Linked DNA regions of Xenopus tropicalis. The main gene of each other region encodes a partner of the protein of the gene in region 2 in a complex. Links are inferred from orthologs where the notes say so. Each region holds a gene or a part of one and is shown on either strand. Other genes may lie near its edges. The genes, in order: prkag1 and prkaa2.

Region 1 (11,984 bases), on a different chromosome or scaffold from region 2:
CTTTTTTTTTTTTTTTTTTTTTTTTGCCATTTCCATTTTTTTATTGACAATTCTATGAGGAGCTGTAATTTGTGCGGTGAGAATTCTGTACAGAAAATTTGTCCTTGGTAGAAAATATAAAATTATTCCTTTTTTTAAAAAAAAAAATGAAAATAAAAACTTGTACGTGGCATGTTTTGTATTGAATATAATTTTGAAATGTATATAATTTATGTGAAAGGGGGCAAGTAAGAGAAGTCTCATTTGCTTCTTTTGGTTTGTTTTTAAAGGACAAATAAAATGCATTTTAAATACATTATGGCCTGTTGCATTTTTTATTCATTCATTTGCTAATATACTAGTTTTAGCATGGGCGTATCTGCAGGCCTGCAGAGTTTTACCAGGTTGGTGGGGTTTCAGTCAAGTTGGGCCAATTTTATTTAAATGCTAAATTAAAGTTCTAGCCTGTCTACTAATTTGGGCTACTTTTGCACAATTTCAAAATACACCAAATTTTATTTTGTATTTTCTGCTAACAATTTATTTTACTGGTCCCTTATTTAAAAAGTTAATTGCCGGCTGCATGCTGGATAATGTAGTTTTACTGTAGGCCCAAGGAGGCCAGTATAGGCAGGGCACATCAGTACACAATGGGCATAGAAAATGTCAGGGCTGGTCTTCAATGGAGGGAAGCCTCAGAGTATGGGCAATTTTTCATTATGAAATTTGCGATGTATATAGATATATTGTACACGCAGGGTGGTTTTTTTAATCCATATAAAGCTATATTAGGGTATATAGGAACGAAAATATATAATTTGCTTTTGTATACACTAAAAAAAAAAATAGACGGTATTATATGGTAAAAAGAAAATCGTGTGTACGGTAAGTACTGTATAAACATAATATAGCGTTCTACACAGTAAGGACGGTCATTTTATGATGCCCCAAATAAAGATGGCTTCTGCGGAAACTCAGAAGAGCATTTCCTCTGCAGCGTGACGCACTGTGGGCGGAAGCGAACGTACAAAGAGGGCGGAAGTGGTCTAAATTAGTCACGGATGCGGAGGCCGCCATGGAACCGGTGAGCGGCATGAAAGTTGAAACATGTATTGTATTAAATAGAAATTAACGTAGCTCTAGCTGTCTTGTAGTGCTTTAAAGGCTACATGTAATATTACGGCTCTGGCGTTGCTAGGCACAGCCTGGATGCTTGTCACTTTATCCCTGTGGGCTTTGGTAAAAACACCAGGGTTATGAGGAAACGCTAGAGCAGTAGAACATGGAAGTGTAATAGAGAATAGCAGAAATGTACTGCTTGCTGCTGTCCTGTTGGAAATGAATTGCAACTATCCGCGTCATCGGTCTGTCTGATCCTTAGGTTTACCGATCAGCTCAAGTTGGTAGTGGAGAAGTTATATAGTTAGAATTGCACTTTAATAACGGTTTCTTCGCTTGCATACGTGACAAGTCCAAATGCTAATTAAATGGATATATATAATATATATATATATATATATATATATAATTGTATATAATGTGTGCTTCTCCTGCTTATAAACGGGCCATTTGTTGGACCATGGCCCTTTGGTACAAGCGTGCCTACAGTTGCATTATATCAGCTTGAAAATGTTCTGAAAGCTTGCTATGATTATCTTAGTTAGCCAATAAAGGTATCACCTTTATACCCCTTTTGTTATTTTTTATTTCAAAAGGGTTACCCTGTAAACATTTTTTGACTGGCTAACACAGTACATCACCTTTTCCTGCATGTACAGTTGCATTGGAATGCACCATCAGTCTGTACATAGGCAATAGATTCCCCTGCCTTTTTCTCTATAGAAACACCTCACCAGCATGTGCTGTATTGCAAGTATTAATGTATCATAAGTAGTCCTGTTGCACAACTAATGTGCTGGCTGCCCTCATTCATTCCTCTATTTACATTGTCCCTCTGCCCAGCTGGTTCCTTTTCCTTTCCTTTTTCCTGTTTTTTTGTTTTTCTGTTAGATGTTCACACCAATTTAGAAAAAAAGGAACTATGGTTTTCTTAATATATTCCCCAAACCTTCACCATTCTTTGCTTTACATTCCTAGATACTTACTTTTTACTTATCAGCTATTTATTTTCAGTCTCTCTTTATCTTATTTGTCCCCTGAGCTTTTTCTTTTTATAAAGCTGGTACCATTTGAGAGATTTCTCCTGGGAAAGGGAGGGGTGGTGGGTTACCTGTCCGAATTAGAACCAAGTGTTTGTTTGAAGAGATTGAGCATGAGGCAACACAATAGCAGTTTGTACTTATTTTATCAACTAAGTAACCGCCATGCCTTATACATACAAACACAGAGTACTAATGGGAAGATCTGTAATATTTTATGTGAAATGCTTTATGGCACTGCTAGATAGTGAGACTATATGGAGAGCAATATGGCTATGTAATGCAAAAGTTAAACTTCCTGTGCTCTGAGTTGATCTTATGATATACTGTTGGGGTGGCTCACCTGGAATCCACAGCCGTATACTTCTGATTATTTGTGCTAAACTATAACCCAAATTTGTTTTGGAGAAATTGGAGAGGCCATTTTGGCAGTCCCCCATGTGAATGCAATGTATTCTGCCAACAGTTAGCTCCAATCTGTTGATGCCACTGAGGGACTGGAGTCTCATCCAACAATTGTTCATGTTCTGCCCTATGGATTGCTAGGTAATCCACCCTAGTGTCATATTAAGAACATGGGAGAAGTAACTTATTTTAGGCAGAGAAATGAATACTAATGACCATCAGATGAGGACATCCCTCTAAACGAACAGTTAACTTCCTAACCCTCTGACTGCCTGATGGCTGTAAGTGGGTATTGCTTTGACCATCAAATTTACACTATCCACTTCTAACTTTGGTGTCTGTAATGTAGAGTCCACTGGTAGTTAGACAGTTAAAGAGCAAGTCTGGTGTATAGGGTTATGGGAGCATGCAACATAGCTGTGTTTTATTTAAAGGGGCTCAGTTTACTATGTATACTTCTTTTTAAAGTGGCCCTGCTGTTTTTTTTTTTTTTTTTTTACTATCTCCTGGACCCTACAAGAAAGGGTATATAGCAGACATCTGAGTACTCATTAGCTTTGCCTCACCTCAATGAAAAGTGTCTATTTTTTTCGTTTCCCTCAGTAAAATATTTTCAGTTGTTCTTCAGTTTCAACTCCCTTAAATGAAGGAGTCAGTTCTTTACTTAACAGGCCAAACTGATAGAGAGCCATTTATCAACACTGGGCAGTAAGCCATATCAACTAATCTGTTATTAGCTTTTTTTTTTTTTCTTCAGCCAGCTGAAGGTAGAACAAATAGTCAAATGGTTGCCATGGGTAACTGGCCAGGTTCAAAATAAATGAGCCCCAGAATGTAAGTTCTACTCCCACAGTACTGTCATGCTTTTTGCGCCTTCAGTCTATTGATATTTTATTTCCATAAATCAGTATCTTGCCTCAATAATGAAACACTATTATTTGTATCTCCCTTTTTATTGTTACTCTATTTTAAACCTTGTACTTTGAAATAAGTGCAAATATGCATGCTATTTATTTGTTAGTTGAATGGGATATTTTTGCTGTGTTTTTTTTTTAACTTTTTTTGTGTTCGTTGGTTGGCCATTGAGATTTTCTGATATTTATGATGTAATTACTCTTTGCTGAATAAGAAAAAAAGGAAAAAGATGTCTGTGCCCTTTTTTGTGCACATGGACTATTCCTTTTTAAATGTATTTTTTAAACTTTAATGCTGTGATTTCTAAACTGTTGAGTTTGGTTTTTTTTTTATTTTGAGGTTTTTTGCACTTAAGTTCGAAATTCGAGTTAGAAACGCAAATGTCTGGTATTTATTAGCTTACGAGTTTCTATAGAAGTCAATGGGAGTTGTCCTAGGCAAAGTCAAGCCATATTGTTGTATTTGAGTTTGTAATTCGAGATTATGGGTTATATTCGGGTTCAAACTCAAGAATTTGAGGTTTTTTTTAATCGCCCAAGTTTACCACTTTAATAAATAAGCAAACAGTCGATATTCAAATTTAATTGATTTAGAAAAACAAAACAATAAAGTGCTAAGATTAAAAAAAAAAAAAAAAAAATATGACAAAGTACAATTAATACTACCCCTAGGGCCATATTGTGTGCACCACAATTTACTGTGTGTGTTGACCTTAAAATGTTAGGCCAGCACACAGGGAACATTGCAGTAGGGTAGTAACTACAGTAATGTTTCTATAGTCTTCTTTTAATATATGTTTACATTTTTCTGAATTGTAATATCTCTTAATGTTTTAGGGTTCTGTTATGATCGAAAGCAATATGCAGGAGAAATGTGAGCCTGCTTCAGATGGTAAGTACATTTGTAGTAAGCAATACAAAAACTAGAGTAGGGTGGCCATGGAAACTTTTCTAATTGTAGTACATATTTATTTTTAATTTTTCTCTATTTCATACATAGTTCTGGAATCAGACAGTGGAGTTTACACGCGGTTTATGAAGAATCACAAATGTTATGATCTCATTCCCATCAGCTCAAAGCTTGTTGTGTTTGATACATCCCTGCAGGTGAGATCATTTTGTTTTTCTTGCAGTAGAACCAGTATCATGTGTTTTGTGACCTTGGCTTTAGCTGGATGCTTCCCAAACTGGGGGGACGGCTAAGGGGGCCCAGCTTGAAGGACAGTAAGGGTCTCCTAGTTGCTCCTGGAAGTCCTGCTTCAGGGTCAATTAGGGCAAGAAAACAATTGTTTGCTGCCCTAGATGTACTTGGAACTGTGTCTAAAGGACTGATACAACGGTGTATTCATATACAGGTATGGGAGCCCTTATTTGGTTTCCTGTTATGCAGAATGCTTCTGCTGGGAAGGCCATCTCTTTCCTGTAATAATAATAATTCTCTGTAATAATAAATCAGTGCCTTGTACTTGATACTAACTAAGCTGCATAAATCCATACTGGTTGCAAAATAAGCCTTTTTAATATTTGTAATGTTTGAATGCTTTTTGCAGATATTACGGTATGGTGATCCAAAGTTAATAGATCCTATACCAGTATCTGTAACCTTGTAATGAGGAAGCTTGAATAATAAAAAGGCCACAAATCTATTGCTTTAATTATTCAAACCTCTCTTAAATTTGCAGGTGAAGAAAGCATTCTTTGCTTTAGTCACTAATGGAGTAAGAGCTGCGCCACTCTGGGATAGCAAAAAGCAAGGCTTTGTAGGTAAGTGTCTAATAAAAGTATCATGTTAGCATGAGACATGAATATCCTAACATTTCTACTAAGCTGTCTTTCTTTTGGAAGCAGAGTATTCTTTAATCAACAAAATGGCTTAAGTTTTTGATTTGTTCACAAATCACCAAATAAAACAAAGGTGTTCTGTTATTTTCAGTTATAGCTCTCACATTAACCTCTCGGCAGCAGCTGATCATACCTAGCCAAGCAAATGTACATGTTGGATATCATCTGTGTAACTGTAATTTCTACAACTAAAATGTGTTTTGTAGGTCTGTGTATTTATTAGTAATATTAAAGAATATGTAAACCTTTAAAAATGAATGTAACATTGATCAGGGTGCTTTTTTTAAGCACTTCTTTAATTTACATGGTTTGTTTTGTTGTTTCAAAGCTATTAAGCTGTTGTTTAACTTGTAATAAGTTTTGTTAAAAAACAAACAAACAGTGCCACCTACTGGTCAGTTCCTCTGTATGGTCTTAGAGAGAGAGTTCAGAAGGGAAACTGAGAACTCTCTGAAAGTTGCTCTGCTCATATGACCTTCCATTCTGTTTCCTAACAGACTTAACTATATTTCTGTAAACTGAAGGGTGGATTCTTACTTGTAGTGTTTGGTAAGCATGTCTTTGTTAAGGCTGATGCCTCGCAGAGCGATAGATCTTTCCACCAGCAACAACAGGAGTCCATAGTGGAAAGGCAATTGCTTTGGTTGCACAAAGTTGCCTGCAGGAGGAAACCGCAAAGGCCTTTCCATCAGCAATTCCTATTTGTGCCAGTGGACAGGCATTTTGGAGCGGGTGACTAACATGCTTCATGAGAGATCACCCTGATGGGATACTGCAGTCTCAGAATGATAAATCTTTGTAAATAATTGTACCTTATAGACAGACAGCTTCTTTGGATGAACATTTGGCATATGCTATCCTCAAATAAAATATCACATCGGTTTCTTTATTGTGTGTTGGTAACCTTTTCACCATTTAATCAGCGCTCCTGGTTAAAGGAGAACTAAACTGAACCCTAAAAATAAATATGACTTAAAATGCTGTATTTTATATACTGAACTTACTGCACCATCCTTAAGTTTCAGCATCTCAATAGCAGCAATGATCCAGGGCTTCAAACTTGTCACAGGAACTCCCCATCTTGTCCTCTGAGCGGCTGTTGAGAAGCTAAGCTTAGGGGTTGTTGCAAATAATTAAGCACAAAATGTGGTTCACCTGTAATATAAGCTGATGCTACAGGGCTGATTATTAAATTTGTATGCTAATTGCACTGATTTTAGAGCTGTCATGCACTAATTATCTGTATTATTTACAAATCAGCCTATATTGTGACATTTACATTGTATATATACAGTATATTGTGCGTTGGTTCCTAAGCTCAGTAACTGACAGCAGCCCAGAGCATGTGCAGTGAATCAGCAGAAAAGAAGATGGGGAGCTACTGGGGGCATCCTCAGGGGCACAGATCTTCTATGATAAAGGGCTGAGGTTATCTTGGGCTGGTATAGGAGCCCAGAACATAATGTTCAGTATTTCTAACCTACTTCTTTAGTTCTCCTTTATATCTGACCTTTCATCTTTTTAACTTTCCTAATATAGGTATGCTAACCATAACCGATTTCATCAATATTCTCCATCGCTACTACAAGTCACCAATGGTGAGTTAAAAAAGGTGCATCTAGGTATATTTTACAATCTGTTCTTTGTCATTACAGTGGTAAGAGATCCTCAAGTGCATTACTTACATTATATGATATATTATAATATTTATTATATGTTTATTAAACTTTTTAAAGAACACTCTGTCAGGTTTACATTGATCTTTAAATTACTTGCTTACAGGTGTACATTAAATGATTTTGAAAGAAATTCTGTGTTCATATTGTAAGGAAAATAGGTAATTCGAATATGTTGGTGCTTTATAAATAAATGTTAATGTAATGTAATTCACAGAGCAGAAGGTAGAGAGAACAATTCCTTAAAGATGGTACCTAGAACTTTTAGCAATTCAAAGAATGCAACACTGTTTAATGCGCCCTTCTCAGTACAGGTACAAAGGAATCTAAGTTGGAGTTATTCGTTTCATCTAATTTTTTCAAACCAGGTGCAGATTTATGAGCTGGAGGAACACAAAATTGAGACATGGAGAGGTGAGTCTGGATACAGGCGCATACACATGAGCAATACAATTTTTAGTGAATGCAGGATAGGCCTCCACTTTTCACTTATTTTACATATCTGGCATGTTGTACTGCTAGGCTTCATGAAGAAGGTACTGTATTTATTCCTGCATTTACCAAGAGGACCCACTATAACAGCCAACATATTAGATAACAGCAAGTGGCTGTTCATTTTAGGCTTGCAAATGAGTTGTTCAATCATATATTTGCATTGTGAAGTGATCAGTCTGCAAGGGCTTTTGTTTTGTTAATGTTCTGATCTGGATTTTTTTTTTTGTTTCCCCTAGAGCTCTACTTGCAGGATTCCTTTAAGCCTTTGGTTAGCATTTCACCCAGTGCCAGGTAGGAGCCAAGACACTGTTGCTGGGATGGTCCGTGATCTGAGAGCCTAATTGCAATGTTTCATATTAACTATTAAATTACCATGTGCCATAAGACTATTGCAGGGAATATTGTAAATGCACTGAGAAAAGTCTATCTTTTTCTTCCTTTTGTCCTTAGTCTGTTTGATGCTGTCTCATCACTGATAAAGAACCGTATACACCGTCTTCCTGTAATCTCTCCTGACTCAGGGAATACTCTGTACATCCTGACACACAAACGCATCCTGAAATTCCTTAAGCTTTTTGTAAGTCTTGCTCTATTTGTATTATTCCTTTGGCTTCTACACACAGACCTCATTTCATCAGAATTTCTTATTTTATATTTTCAATGAGAAGATGTCTGAAGTTGAGAAACCTGCTTTTGTGACTAAATCCCTAAAAGATCTGCACATTGGCACTTATGAAAATATTGCCCTTGTTCGCCCGGACACTCCTGTATATGTTGCTTTGGGCATCTTTGTGCAACGGCGGGTGTCTGCTTTACCAGTTGTGGATGACTCAGGTTAGTGAAGGATTTCAGAGACAAGTTACAGTCTGTCATTTCCTCCTGTTGCTTTGTAGCTAACATGAGGTACAACAATGTTCCAGCAAATGTTCTGAATTTAGCATTATCCACTTCCTCTATAGGTGCAATAAAGAAGTAATTGATATTGAACAATATAAGGTGTAAAGGAAAATGCCTGTCTCCCAGGGCACTTAGAAAACTGGAAAAATGCTGTAGCATGTCATATATACTCTGCTTAATTAAATCATTGTAAGGATAAGGCCCCACGGATTGTCAGCTTGCATATAAGCACACACTGACACATATGCCCTTACGCTTGAAAAATCTTATTATTGTGCCTGAACACAGAAGCAATGAATCCACCTGGGTGCAGGCACACTCAGCCAATATCTGCCTACATACGCCAAGTCTCGCATTAATTGGCGGATATCGACTGCGTGTGCCTGCACCTGGGCAGATTCAGTTTTTCCGTGTGCAGTCACTATTTGAAAACGTTTTTAAGTGTATGGGCAAATTATCAGTCTGTGCTTATATGCCGGCTGACAGTCTGCCTTGTGGGGCCTTACCGTAACTCTCCTTGCTTCCTAATTTGTAACTCTGTTAAATTGCTTAGGGGAGGTATACGTCCTTATTTAACAAAAGCTCAATATATACAGTATAGGGCTTGTACTTAAAAATACTGTTTGCCTTTTTATAATTAAGAAACATCACTTTCTAAATTTCTCTAACAAATAAACCGTTTCCTGGTTTTGCCAAGCAGATCAGAAACTGGTAAAATGAATTATCAGTCCACAGAAAAGCCTTTTAATGAGCTGCTTAGGGAAGGGAGGTGTTTGTTTATTCAGGGCTCCTTATCTTACTTTGAACAAATGACTCTAGGGGGGAGTGAGTTCAGTGAAAAACAGACCAATTTTTCATTAATGCTTCTTTGTTAAAATAAGAATAAGAAAAATCTCCTATTTATAGTTCTCATTTTTTTTGCAAAGATATATGAGGGGGGGTATACTATCTCATTAAAGGAACAGTAACACCAAAAAATGAAAGAGTTTTAAAGTAAATGAAATATAATATACTGTTGCCCTGCACTGGTAAAAGTTGTGTGTTTGCTACAGTAACACTACTATAGTTTATATAAACAAGCTGCTGTGTAGCCCCGGGGGCAGCCATTCAAGCTGGAAAAAAGGAGAAAAGGCACAGGTTACATAGCAGATAACGGATGAGCTCTGTAGAATACAATAGTGTTTTATCTGTTATCTGCTAAGTGCCTGTGCCTTTTCTCCTTTGAATGGCTGCCCCCATGGCTACACAGCTGCATTCTTTATATAAACCATAGTAGTGTTTCTGAGGCAAACTCACCAGTTGAACCAATGCAGGGCAACAGTACATTATATTGGAATTTCTTTCATACACTTGAATTTTTTGGTGTTACTGTTCCTTTAACAGGTGACACTGTATAAGACATAGCACACAAGTGAGTGTCATCTAATATATTCTTGTCCCTTCCAGTCCCCTGGCAACTTCCTATGTTTGTTTTTCAGCCACCCCGTCAAATTTTTCTAGGGATGCACCGAATTCTGCATTCGGTTCGAGATTCGGCCAAATCCAGGCTTTTTTTTTTTTTTAAGGATTCGGTTTTGCCCGAATCTGCGGTCCCGGCCGACCCGAATCTGAATGCTAATTAGCATAAATTAGTATATGCTAATTAGCATTAATAACCATATGCTAATGAGGATTGGATTCGGTTCGGGATTCGCACAAATCCTTCAGAGTGGGTTCAGGGGTTCGCCAAACCCAAACCCATGTTCATGAGTCAAACTCTACTATAGGGGCTGATTTGCTAAAACCCCAATAAAGTACTACAATGCCATTACCTATAGTAACTAGTCAGATGTTGTAGCACTCATTTTACTAAACAATCCCCAAAGTCTCTTGGATTTTAGGAATCTGCTATTCATAGCCACATTTTAACACATATCTTTAAGTAGTGTTCTTATATTCAAGCACTTGCCCTCTTGCCATACTGTATTGGCCAGGAATTTAGTCACTTTTTTCTTCCCTTACAGGACGAGTTGTTGATATATATTCCAAGTTTGATGTCATTGTGAGTACCACTTAAGCTATTGCTTTTGTGTTTAATATGTGAAAAGCAAGTGTGTGCGTGTGTGTATATAAATATCTAAAAATAATATCAAATTATCAGTATATTAAGGACATTGAGGCATTTTTTGCATTAAGCTACTAATACATGCCCTTCCCTTTAAACAAAACAGGGATTGTTTTTCCATATATTGTAATATATTCAAAGCCATCCCCGGTCTGGCCAGTCCTACACTCAATTTCATCTGATTCATTAAGAATTCTACTGCTTCATTGTACGTTTTTCACAGAGACTTGCTTTGCTTTTAAGGTTAAAATTTCTAAATGGTTGCCCTTTTATTGGCCATCACTGGGATCACCTGACTGTAGCTGGGGGTAAAGGGAATTTCAATGTGGCACTGGTCACTGCTCCTGTATAAATTATAGCAAAAAGGGAAGGTTGTGCGCAAAGACAAGAGACTCTCTGCACATATCCATTATAATAAATATATGAAGCACATTGAGACATTTTGTGTATAGAAATAACCTTTTTTTTAAAAAAAAAAAAAAAAAAAAATCTTTAAAATTACTCTAAACAACAACATCCTGCATGCCGTCTGATCTGGTTTCTGACTTATAAATTGAAATCTCCAGCTCCTTTCCTCTACTTCCTGTTACAGCGTGAAGCCCTGTTCCCTCTTCCTGCTTAGCTCTCATTATTTCTTATATTCACAAACAGAAAATCTATGTACCCCCAAAAAAATTTGACAGTGTAGTGAGTTCTAGTTCAACACCACCATTGAATCAATTAAGATGCAAGTGCAAGCAATCCATCAATACAGTGATTTAATCCAATTCTAAAATCCTGTTGATTTAACTGTGGCGTTGAACTATAACTCACTGCACTGTCAAGTTGCAAACTTTTTGTACATTTTAAAGCAATTTATAGGTATTGTTGAACATGGAATGCTGGTATGTGGTTTTCAACAGATATGAATTATGATTTGAGTACATAGACTTTCTTTTTGTGAAGCACTTTCATAAGTGCATTTTTATAATGCCATGTCACGCCCTGCCTCTATGTCCAGAGATCCCGGGCAGGCCGTGACATGGCAGCCCTATCCGTGAGCCATGCAGCCATGAATAGGCACAGAAAAAAATGCTGCTGCAATCTGGCTCCTGCTTCTCTGTGCATTCCCAGAAAGCCTCTTCTCTGTCAGGCATGCCCAAAAAGCTCTTCTCTTCGACTATCCTGTAGTCAAAGAGATAAAGAGAGCTCAGCAGGAAAATGGGGATGGGGCTTTGTGCTGTATCAGGAAGTAGAGGAATGGAGCTGGAGATTTCTACTAAAAATTGCCATCCCCTTTAAACAAAACAGGGATTGTTTTGTCCACATATTGCAATGTCTCCCTCCCTCTATATATATTCTTGTATGTGATAAGCAAGGTTATGCTGTGTATGATTGACTCCTGTGAGTTTGTTTCTTGTTATTTTTTTCTAATATTCTCACAGGCTTTATGTCCATGTTCCCAAAGTGCATTCCTTATACCAGCTACCTATATACTTCTACAGTGAAAGCTCAATTTTACATACCCTAATTT
Region 2 (11,984 bases):
ACTACAAATCCCAGGAACCACTGAAGGCTGAAAGTTGTCAGGGGCTGGTTGGAGTTACAGTTAAGTAACAGCAGGAGAGCTAAAGGCTGTCACAGTCCTAATAAGAATCACTAGGCCTTTATAAAAGGGATTTCTGTCTTACCGTCAATACTTTTGAAGTCCAAAAGGTAACTGCGATTATCAACCTGGTAGAGCTGCAGACTCATTTTCACATAAGTACCAGTCACTGGATTCTTTCTTCTCACACGGAGATGATAAGGGTTAACTACCTAAGGTACCAAGGATTTGGTTAGACTCGCAGCTTTGTTTAAAGGAAAACTATACCACCTAAATGAATACTTAACCAACAAATAATTTATATCATATTAAGTGGCCTAATAAAGACTCTTATCAAATTGGAATATATATCAGTAAATATTTCACTTTTACATCTGTTATCTCATTGCCATCTTTTCCCTCAGAGATCACCTGACGGTAAATACCGTATATACTCGAGTATGAGCCGAGTTTTTCAGCACCAAAAATGTGCTGAAAAACTAACCCTCGGCTTATACTCGAGTATATGGATTCGAAGATGGAACGAGCTTGTTGTGTGCACCCCCCCCCCCCGAGGATGGACGCTTGCACGCGGGGGGGGGGGGGGGGGATTGCGCACAACAAGCTCGTTCCATCTTCGAATCCATATACCACTTCTGCGACAGTGTTCTACAATCTGCTGCTCAGCTCCTGCCTCAGGACACAATGCACTAGGTATTAGGTATTTGACTTAACTCTTCCTACAGACAGTTAGACAGCATTCCTGTGTTAAGCTGAGCTTCCCTGATCTGGTTGTCTACCTGCCATATACTGTACATCCAGATGGTTGGGCAATATGCTCAAAATTAGTCTTGGTCCAATCAAATATAAGCACCTATGGCCAGCTTAACTGAAGCACTCTGGCTTTATACGTGGCTGGAACTTTGTCATTAGGCATTAGTTTACCTGCATTAGGTTACCTGTGTAGCACAATGGGCCATATTTACCATTTTTTCCTCCCTTGGCCCTTCACAGTGCAGATATGATGATCCATTGCTAGTCAGCCAGCCTTTCTGTGATAGTTTAACTCTTTAAAAAGAGAGGGATCAGGCTACCCCCAAAAGATCAGCCTCCACACCCAGGTTCAGGCTTATGTATCTTGTCTTTCCCAGTGCTGTAAATCTTCAAGGCAAGAGGGTCAAAGGGTCCTCCATCCACCCTAATCACCTTTCCCTAATCTGCAGCTGCCAGCATGATATATTTATGAAGAGTTCACAGGGGGGGATTATTAAAATTTAGCAGTAGCGGCTGCATTTCCCACCCTAGGCTTATACTCGAGTCAATAAGTTTTTCCAGTTTTCGGCTTATACTCGAGTATATATGGTAATGAAGCTCTAACTGTAACAGGCAGTAGTGTGGGAGTAAAAGACAGAACTTAATTACAAAAAAAGACAGAAAATTAATTGGCTGATGTTACCTAATGTGTGATGTATGCGTGCCCTTTGTTTGTGTGCACTGTGAATTGTATGATCCCAGGGGGCAGCCCATAGTACTTAAAATGGCAATTTTCTATTTAGAATTACCCAATAGCACATCCTACTAAAGTATATTTTTATGAAAAGGGATTCTTTATGTGATATATATTTTTATTGAGACCTACACTGTTTAAGGGTATTGTTTTCCTTTAACATAATATGCATTAATTAGCCAAAAAATAGTTATGTCTTGGCTTTACCAATTGCATTTCATAGTAAAAAAAAAAAAAAGTGGGGTTTTGTGTCAGAATTCTGCATTTTTCTTGCGTTTAGAGCATTTTAGCTCTTTTTTTCTAAATATGTTAAAGGAATACTGTCATGGGAAAACCTTTTTTTTTTTCAAAACGGATCAGTTAATAGACCTCCAGCAGAATCCTGCATTGAAATCCATTTTTTTAAAAACAAAGATTATTTTATATTTAATTTTTAAATTTCACATGGGGCTAGCCATATTCTTCATTTCCTAGGGTGCCACAGTCATGTGACTTGTGCTCTGATAAACTTCAGTCACACTTTACTGCTGAACTGCAAGTGACACCACCCCCCTCCCAGCAGCCGATCATCAGAACAATGGGAAGGTAGCAAGATAGCAGCTCCCAGTAGATATCAGAATAGCACTCAATAGTAAGAAATACAAGCCTAGTTACATGGGAGGAGAAACAGTAGGTTATCTCAGTGCTGTCCAACTGGCAGCCCGTGACCCCCCTCTGTGTGGCCCCCCACCTGTCTGGCTGCTTTGGTGGCTTACCTTTGTGAAAGCTTTAAAGGGTATCAGTACTAAGATTAAGTGGACCCCTGCATGGTTCTGACCTCAGATTCAGGCTGTAATCCCCCTGAACTGTTTAAAAATGTAATGGGAGTTTGTTAGCAGTTAGAAATAGCCATTAAATGGTCCCTAAGGTGTGTAATTATGTGCTGGGGGTTGCTGTGCTATCCACAGGGGAGGAGGAGGCATATGGATTTAAGAGTGTGTCTTAATATGACATATGAATGACGGTTGATATCCCTGCAGTAAGAACCAAGCATTTGGGTTTTTGCTGCACTACCACCATTGTGATAAAATGGGTGTGGTTTAAAAAGGGGCAGTGGTCAAAACTGGCTTCCATTAGCAGCCCTCCACCATGTATGCTAGAGAAATTCCAGCCCTCGGCACCACAGAAGTTGAATAGCACTGGGTTATCTGAAAGCATTTCTAATGTGTAGCGCTGGCTCCTTCTGAAAGCTCAGACTCAGGCTCAATGCACTGAGATGGCTGCCTACACACCAATATCACAACTAAAAAAAAATACATTTGTTGGTTCAAGAATAAACAGTGTAATTTAGTAAAAAATTATGGCAAAAATCATCTTAAGTCTCTAAGCAACAAATTCGATAATGACACTTATGGGTGTATTTTCTGCATCTAGACATTTTCCCTATGCATTCATAATGGAAAAAAATGTTTTTGGGGCACTCTACAATAGTTCGCAAAAATTTTGCTTATGTTTTAAAAATGTTTATGTTTTAAAATACTAGAAAAACCTGCTATAATGTTAAAATAGTTCACATCACTTTGGAGCAGGAAAGACTTTTTAGGCAACACAACTGTAAAACTGTTAAAATTTTGCAACAGGTTATAAGTTTCCACCAATAGCAAATTAAAACAAAGGAAACTGAAACTGATTTAGTAAATTTCAGGAAATCCCAAATAGTTTTATGTTATATAACAGAACACCGTTCCAAACTCAACTTTTTAAATTATGTAAAAAAATATTTCACATAAGTACTTCCAGAATGCCAAAATAATTCCAAATATTAGTAAATCATCCGTACAGTGTTTGTGTAATGGATATATATTAGAGAGGAACTGTCACTACAAATAAAAAATCCACTAAACTGTAGGGGAGGTTTAATTAATCCATCTCACAACCAACACCATGAATGATGTGTCTGCAGCAGGAAAAATATTTGGTTGAGTGAGAGAACTAATAAACTATTTATAGCTCAGAGACTGTAAGAAAAATAATAAAACTTGTTCGGCAAATAGATTTATTAGAATCCCCTACAGTCTGGGTGCACATTAACAGCTAGGACACGTCCATGTTAAGAGAATATGTGTAATGTCTTTTTTGCTGCAGGACTGTTCCTAGTAACTGCTGTATGGATTGGGGTTGGAAGATGTGTTCACAACTGTGATGAAAGACAGAAGGCACAGAGAAAAGTTAAAAAAAGCGAAAGATTGTTTATAGTCTGTACAGGGACAAGTTAAGATAACTGCATAATACAGTATAAGCCACTGTTCTAGACACAACAACAAAAAAACATGTAAATTGTTACTAAATATGAGAAACCAAAAAAATCAATTTAATAAATGGCTGCTTATAGTAGAGCCAGATTAGGCATTTAAACAATATGAAGACAAGCACTGTCATGTGAAGGGCTGCATAAGCAAGGAGTACTGTAGGTTATAAGCAGGATCTTTAGGTCAATACCAAGGCTCCTTGGGAGAAAAGATGTTAGAGGCCTGCTAGTGCAGTGGCCAGATGATGACCTAAATGCATACCTTTATACCTATTATTGACAGCTGGGCCTTTTCTGCCCACACACAGTTCTTCATGAAATAGTCAATCTGATCCTACTGCCAACTTATCTGTTAGCTCTGGCACTGGGGAGGCAATGGCTTGCCTTTCTCCATTATTTTATGAAATGAACACAAATAAAACAGCTAATTTATCAGGCACCACTTTGAGAAATAACTGAAGGCACTTGGTTCCAAAGCTTCCATTTGTACCTTCACATAGTTCGCATCAGAGCCAGTGGATCTGTCCTGCCTCCTCATGCTATCAAGCACACTGTCCCTATAGATGTAGGGGAACTCCAAAACTACCACCACCATGAAGGTAGATTCTGACAGTGGTCTGTGTCAACAGATGCAGGGTATTTGCTCCTAAAGAATCGGGCACAGACATGATTTTGACTACTTCATGTGGGGTACTATAGCAAACCAAGTTTTGTAAAGGGGCTGCACCTCAATACACCACTGATATAAGCACCCTGATAACCTGAACCTTTACTGTTAAGTTTGTCTTTTAACATAAGCTCTGCCTGCAGTTTGTAAGTTAAGCACATTAGATACAACCATACTGGTATTCACAGGGCCGCCATCAGGGGGGCACAGGGGGCACAGTCGTCCCGGGCCCGGGCATTTTTAACTTCAAAGGGGGCCCGGCCGTGCTAGAGTTTTCTTAGCTCGGGCCCCCTTTAAACACCTCCGGGCCCTGCGACTGTCATTGGCGGCCTCCAGCGCTATGTCCCACGGCCCCCGCTACACCTGCACTTTCATAAGGTTGCGGCCCGTGCGTACTGACGTCACACGTACGCACGGGCACAACCTTGTAAAAGCGCAGGTGTAGCGGGTGCCGTGGGACATAGCTGAGGACGCAGGGAGGAGACGCAAGTGAAGCAGGAGGAGCCGGAGGCCACAGAAGGAGCCAGAGGTAGCAGGAGAAAGCAGCAGGATGATTGGGAGGATGCTGAGGGGCAGCTGGAGGATGCTTTTGGGGGGCCCTGGGGTAGCAGGAGGAAGCTTGTGGGGGCCCTGGAGGATGCTTGGGGGGCAGCTGGAGTATGCTTGGGGGTCAGCAGGAGGATGCTTTTGGGTGGCCCTGGGGTAGCAGGAGGAAACTTGTGGGGGCCCTGGAGGATGCTGGGGGGCAGCTGGAGTATGCTTGGGGGTTAGCAGGAGGATGCTTTTGGGGGGCCCTGGGGTAGCAGGAGGAAACTTGTGGGGGCCCTGGAGGATGCTGGGGGGGCAACTGGAGGATGCTTGGGGGGGGCCTGGAGGATGCTGGGGGGGCTGGAGTTTGCTTGGGGGGCCCGGGAGGAAGCAGAAGGATGGTGGGGGGGGACACAGGGGGGGAGCTGGAGGAAGCAGTGGGGAGCGGGCCATAGTTGAGGAGACTGGGGGAGGGCCACCAATGTTTTAGGGAGCCCTGTGCTGGCTAGCAATATTTTAGGGAGTCCCTGAACTGGAACCAATGCAAAACGTAACCCCTGGCCACCAATGTTTTAGGGGGGCCCTGGCTACCAATGTCTGTGTGTCATTTGAATTGATGGGAGGGGTCACTGGGGGTGTGGCCATTGGGTGCATGGGAGGAGGGGGGCCCAGAAAATTTTATTGTGAGGGGCCCCATGATTTCTGATGGCGGCCCTGGGTATTCATCAAAAATTTGAAGATGCATAATAAATGGTCCGGGAGCAGGTACATGAAGAAGCTTTAAGGAGCAGATTCTCGGCCTGTGTTTATCTGCAGGCCGAGAATCATCCACATGTGGCAGTAGCCTTACAGTTATTTTGTCACAGACAAAGCACATATATCTAGAAATCCATATTAGTCCAAACATGCATAACAGCATAATTCTGGATGCGACACTACATACTAGGAAAATTATAATACCCTAGAAAGATAGAATTGTTAATGTGTTATTGGTTGATTTTTTTTATGCATAATACCCCATGCCTTCAACCTGCAAAGACATGAAAACACATATAAAATACTGAAAGATGTGGATTTCAAGTCTAGATGTGCAATTTCCTATGCAAGTTTTAGGACTAACACTCACCTTCCATTCAAAATCAAGTTGCTTCATAGCTCGATAAACTTCAGCCATAATATCATATGGTTTACTTTGGCTGCGGATCCCCAAGTGCCACTTGGCTTTTTTCACAGCTAGGGGTTTAGGTTTGGTGGTGTTCAAAGCATCTAAAGGGCATCTTGCCTTTGGACTATCTGCTATTAGAGGTGGCATTCTTTCTGGGTGTGGCTTCACTCCAGGTGGGATGTGCAAAGTGCTTTCGTCTATGAATGAGCCAGTTGGTGGACTAGAGGCGAGGTAGAATTCACTGGCCTGGTTCATTATTCTTCGATTGTCTATTATAAGATGGTAGGCAACAGCAAGCTGGTCTTGTGGGTCACCGCTGTATAAACTGTTCATAACTTCGGATTCTGTACATTCAAACTTCTCACACACCTCCTTCACAGCCTCATCATCAATTACATTGGCATCATATGACGGGTCTTCTGGAAACAAGTAACTGGGTAAATCCTGTTTAAACCATTCATGTTCTCTGAGGAGAGAAATGCCATTTTTTAGGAATAGCACTGAAGCATGGAAACCAAAACATAACTGCAATAAAACTACCTTCAGTCTTCTAATCCATCATCTCCTCTGTACAACACAAAGTCATCAAAATATTTATAATAACATTTTATTTTCATTTATATCCGTAGCTACTTTACAAAGACAATTAGTAACACCAGCTAGGCAGTAGACGGGTCTCATATAGTGTATAAGTATTTAATTATACCATACTTCCTGAACGGTGCAGATACAGTTACTGAAAATAACACTTTTCATCAAAAAAAACCTCACTTAAGATTTGGGTAAAACAAATAAATGGATGGAAGTGCATAAAAAAATTTTCGACAACAAATCAAGCACAGATTCCTTTGCAAAAGGGAAAAGGTCACTTAACAGATTGCAGCTGAAAGTTTCTAAAAAGTGAACAAGTGTTCCTTAATGTTACTGGCATCCACTTCAGGATGTGTGAAATTATCCATAATCCACATTTCATGCTCTGATATACGTTACTATGGTTACTGGCTCTGCATAGCATAACAGACCTAAAAATTACACTCCTCCATTTATCATTCAAAATCAAGGCTAAACCACATTTTGCTCATTGCCTGGGGTCAGACCAGGGGCACATTTTGTCCTGCTAACATGTTTTTAATTCTAACTAACCTTTTAATAAAGGCCATGAGCCAGAACAGCAATATGTGTCTAGCACTTATCCACCTGCTGTTTACTAAAACAGAACTACAGAACACTTACATACAAATATCAGAGGTATACAGGTATGGGATCTGTTATACAGAATGCTTGGAATCTGGGGTTTTCCAGAAAAGGGGTCTTTCTCTAATATCTTAAGGCTACTGAAACATTAAATAAACCCAACAGGATTGCTTTGCCACCAATATGGATTTTTGCAGCTTAGTTACCATCAAGTATAAGGTGTTGATTTATTATTACAGAGAAGGGGAAATCATTTTAAAAATTAGAATTATTGTTTATATGTTTAAAATGGAGCTTTTTGGATATTGGGTTTCCAGATAAAAATCCTATACCTGTACTAAGCATTGGTCACTATTTTCATTGAACCATTTCTGTATTTCATTTCAGTATGTATGAAACTGTTTTGCATAAAAAATTATTTGTTACATGAGCATCATTACCTTATGTCTTTGATAGTGGCACGCTTAAGAGGGTCAACCTGAAGCATATGCATTAACAATGTAGCAGCAGAGCGGTTTAGGTACTCAGGGATGTAAAATACTCCTCCTCTTATCTTCTTAAAAAGAGTTGGAACATGTTCATCATCAAATGGTAGAGTTCCACAGAGAAGAGCATAGAGTATCACTCCACAGCTCCAGATATCAACCTCAGGACCTGCATACAATCTACACAGAAAGGTAGAACAGACAATATAATACACTACAATTGGAAATAGGTTAAAAGCATGGTATTACATTTAAATGCATTATGAAGGGCCAAATAAGAATAACTCATTCTCCCAATACAGTCTCACAACTTGAAGCGTAACAAAATCCCTCATAAACCTTGAAAATTGTCTCTCAAAGGCACCCATCTTTTCAACAGATAGTCTGAATGTACTGATAAGCATTTGAGCATGCCCACTTGTCTATCCCTGCTCTCCCACCTGATATCATACTAATACCTAGCATAGTGTATGTGTGTACGAGGAAAACTGAAGTCACTTGTTCCAATATTCAGGCAGGAGGTTTGCTAAACTGAAAGGAATGTGGTTTAAAGGCATAACTTATGCTACATAGTTAATTTGGGTTAAAAAGACAAAAGTTCAACCCCTCCAAATAACTCACAGTGCATATACATATAGAGAGACCTATTAATATACTCAAATATATAAAAATATACACATAACTAAATGTAGATCTTAAGATCACTATAGACTTGGATATTATGCTTGGACAAAAAGTCACCCAAGTCACAGAATATGCCATCACAGCATCACCTGCGGGGGTTTTTCACAAGCTCACAAACCTTACAGTGCAGAACCTTTTGCTGCTCAAATAAAAGTTTTGTTTTTTTTTAACTGAGGGCTGCTGTATATGAGAAACAGGGCAGCCCTTTATAAATAAATCACTGGTTGCCTGCAGCCTTAGTTGCCCTTAAAGCAACTCTGAAACCTTTTTTATAAAACAAGCAGTGTATAATAGTGCAAGAAAATAGTGTTTTTCCTCATTTTATCCGACTGAAAGTAACTTGGAAGGATGCTATTAGTAGATGCCCTTTATCCCCTCTGGAGCTAGGGTAGCAGGTGGCTCTGGTGTTTGGACTGGCACCAGAAGATACCAATGTAGGTGCTGAAGCAGACGCCATCCAGTAATGGCAGTCAAAACACAAGTTCTGCCCACTGCCACATTTACATTGATATCCACAAGAAAGGCAAGCTTCTACCAAAAGGACCACCATCATGGCACAAAATTGTAGCTAATAATTAATGAAAAAAAAACAAGCAAAAAAATACAAATAAAAATGATGTACATTATGTACCTTACATGTTTATTTTATGATGGCATGTGCTGCTGGCATTTATAAACTGCAGTTAGAATTCCTTTAATAGCAAATTCTACCTATCAATGCTAAATTAATGCTGCACCCCTTAGCGCCATATAATGACGTGACTAAGCAACTTCAACAGGCTGTATTGCATAAGTTATTCACGGATTTTGTGTATAGTAAAATACTTTACCTTCCCGATATGACTTCCGGTGCTGCATAATTAGGTGAACCACAACTGGTCCGCAGGAATTCCCCATCTGACATCATGTTGGATAATCCTATGAGAAACAATTTCCAAGATAAGTTATAGAGGTGTGATCACTTACCTTACATTATACAACATATATGCATTTTGTTGGTTGCAGCATGAGTGAGCGTGTGAAACAACTGGAAAGAATCAGAATATCAAATGAAATACAAGTATGGCATCTGTTATTCCGAAAGCTCTGACTTTATGGGAAGGCTATCCCCCATAGACTCAATAAACAATTGACATTTTTAAAATTGATTTCCTATTTCTCTGTAATAATACAGTACCCTGTACTTGATCCCAACTCAGATATAATTAATGCTTGACAATGCATTATACTTCTCCAAATATGGAAGGAATGCACTTAAAAAATGTTTCGGACTGATTTACTGAGATATTCCCCTCAAACCCTACTAGTCCCACCCATCTGTGGCCACTTCCTGCTGCCTCCTTTCCCAAGCTGAGCAGGGGAGCTGGTTGCACTCAGCACTCTAGGATAGGAACCAATCAGCAGCTAACCTGACTAAATAGGAAACTGAAGTCTGTCTTTGCTTGTGTGACTGCAAGGTTATGATTATCCCCCACATACTGATGCTCTGGCAGTACACAACCACCCCTTGTTTGAAACACAGACTGGGACCAGGGAGGATCTATAAGAAGCTCCAGTAAAGAGGTCATTTTTACAGATGGTATTAGTTTTTAGCCCAAAGTAAAACTAGCATCATAATGCATATTATTCATAACTGCCTCCAAGATTAGGGGGGGGTGGTCATTTATCCTATATGTTTCCTTTAAGGCACAGAGGTTCAAATGACAGAAATAATCCTTATCAGGAAAACCCCAGGTCCCAAGCATTCTGGATAACAGGTCCTATACCTGTATTACAAACTACCTGTAAATGCACATTTTATCAGCTTTAAAAAATAACAAAGTTTGCATACTTGCAATGAAATGTACTTTAACATTTTCAAAAACTTGCAAATATATATTTGTCATAGGTATTATTTGGCAGTTTTCCCTACAATTTGCCTTGTTTTATTTACACACACAGAGACCCATTGGGCACTAGCCATAACAATTCCTTTGCAAGGTCATGTAATGAGATTATTGCAAAATATGCACAACTAGTTATGCTGGCCAATAATAGATAACTGTGCTGCTTCAGGAATGGCTATCTTTATAACAAGGGTATGTTTAATTTCTTTGCTGTGTTCCTACAGCAAATGTATTGCTCTCTATAAGGTTAGACTACAAAACAAATTTATAAAATAAATTCTCTTTCAACAATGGGCAGTTTTTCCAACTAATAACAAAAGAATTTTAACTGAAATTGCAGAGTTCTACATCCCTGCACAGCTAATGATTGTATACTGACAACCTTCAACAAATGACCTGTTTGCTGGCTACATTCTTAGAATGTTTGGGAAGTCACATACCAAAATCAGCTATCTTGGCATTCATGTGTGCATCAAGCAGCACATTCTCTGGTTTCAGATCGCGGTGAACCACCATATGTCTGTGACAGTAATCTACAGCAGAAATGATCTGTTGAAAAAGGCGTCTTGCCTCTGCTTCTTCAACCTACAACAGATAAAGCCAATGAATTGCACTGGATTTCCTAATAAGGTTGTTAGTTACAGTCAAGAAAAAACATATTTGTTTAAACTTTACAGATACGTTGGTTTAAAGGCACTTTTCTGTCATCTTAATCATTATACCAATGAAAAAGGTAACATATAAGCATTATCCATTTTATAGTCAGGTATCAGCAGTTTGCCACTGGTATATAATTTTGATCGTGCTTTCTCACTCATCACGATACACACAATTTAGATGTCTGACATCTGGATTCCCTAGGTTTGGAATTACATTTTCCAAACCACACAAAACTGATAGTGTGCTATGACAGTCCGCTGAGAAAAATACATTTACAAGGGAAGAGAAACAAGAACATGACACTCAAGTCTACTATGTTTTTTTTTTAGTTCAACTAGGAAAAATCTAAACAGATCAGAATGTTTAATAGCTTGAAAAAATAGGGTGCATTTATCAGAGACTGTCATCGTCTATCCTAATGAAACATACACTGCTGGCTTGAGCCTATTTGTGTTAGTAATATTGTAAAGAAGCTTATTTTAAAACTGAAGTCAGGGACCTCTTTCTGAAAAAATATTCACTTTGATAATGTTAACAAATGCCAAAAGTCAGCCCAGTTCTCCATGTTTTTACCCCCAATATTTTTCACAAAATTCCAGTGTAACTGCACCCACTACATTCAGACCAAAAATCCTGTTCTTAATAAAAAGAGGCACACAAATTTGTGGCTGTTATTGCAAAAGAGTCCAACTTGTACTTCCAAGTTTAGAGGCAGCACAAGATGGGAAATGGGCAAGCACTTACGCACCCATTATTTGAGTCACATATACAGTGGCTTGCAAAAGTATTCGGCCCCTTTGAACTTTTCCACATTTTGTCACATTACAGCCACAAACATGAATCAATTTTATTGGAATTCCACGTGAAAGACCAATACAAAGTGGT

What was found.
Region 1: the proteins of prkaa2 (region 2) and prkag1 are in contact, whole or in part, in a crystal structure (PDB 6B1U), measured with the Homo sapiens proteins. The link is inferred for Xenopus tropicalis from reciprocal best matches to the Homo sapiens genes PRKAA2 and PRKAG1. Residues at the interface, in NP_006243.2 of Homo sapiens: Asp329, Asn330, Ile333, Met334, Ala337, Phe340, Tyr341, Leu342, His366, Pro367, Glu368, Arg369, Met370, Pro371, Pro372, Leu373, Ile374, Asn444, Val446, Thr447, Pro530, Arg531, Leu532, Gly533, Ser534, His535, Thr536, Met537, Asp538, Glu541; in NP_002724.1 of Homo sapiens: His36, Asp40, Leu41, Ile42, Pro43, Thr44, Ser45, Val50, Phe62, Leu64, Val65, Thr66, Gly68, Val69, Arg70, Trp75, Ser77, Lys78, Lys79, Gln80, Phe82, Pro158, Glu159, Ser160, Gly161, Asn162, Lys170, Arg171, Lys174, Phe175.

Annotation. Positions count from the first base shown.
Region 1 is NC_030678.2:136,343,287-136,355,270, reverse strand, and holds the start of prkag1 (5'-AMP-activated protein kinase subunit gamma-1), read left to right. Parts: upstream 1-1,047; 5' UTR 1,048-1,054; coding exon 1,055-1,063; intron 1,064-1,068; exon of another isoform or gene 1,069-1,088; intron 1,089-4,294; coding exon 4,295-4,349; intron 4,350-4,457; coding exon 4,458-4,564; intron 4,565-5,139; coding exon 5,140-5,221; intron 5,222-6,838; coding exon 6,839-6,897; intron 6,898-7,343; coding exon 7,344-7,389; intron 7,390-7,706; coding exon 7,707-7,761; intron 7,762-7,920; coding exon 7,921-8,047; intron 8,048-8,138; coding exon 8,139-8,304; intron 8,305-10,370; coding exon 10,371-10,408; intron 10,409-11,984. UniProt on the Homo sapiens protein: AMP/ATP-binding subunit of AMP-activated protein kinase (AMPK), an energy sensor protein kinase that plays a key role in regulating cellular energy metabolism.
Region 2 is NC_030680.2:87,565,792-87,577,775, forward strand, and holds part of prkaa2 (5'-AMP-activated protein kinase catalytic subunit alpha-2), read right to left. Parts: intron 11,025-11,984; coding exon 10,880-11,024; intron 9,472-10,879; coding exon 9,384-9,471; intron 8,050-9,383; coding exon 7,825-8,049; intron 6,657-7,824; coding exon 6,152-6,656; intron 270-6,151; coding exon 143-269; intron 1-142. UniProt on the Homo sapiens protein: Catalytic subunit of AMP-activated protein kinase (AMPK), an energy sensor protein kinase that plays a key role in regulating cellular energy metabolism.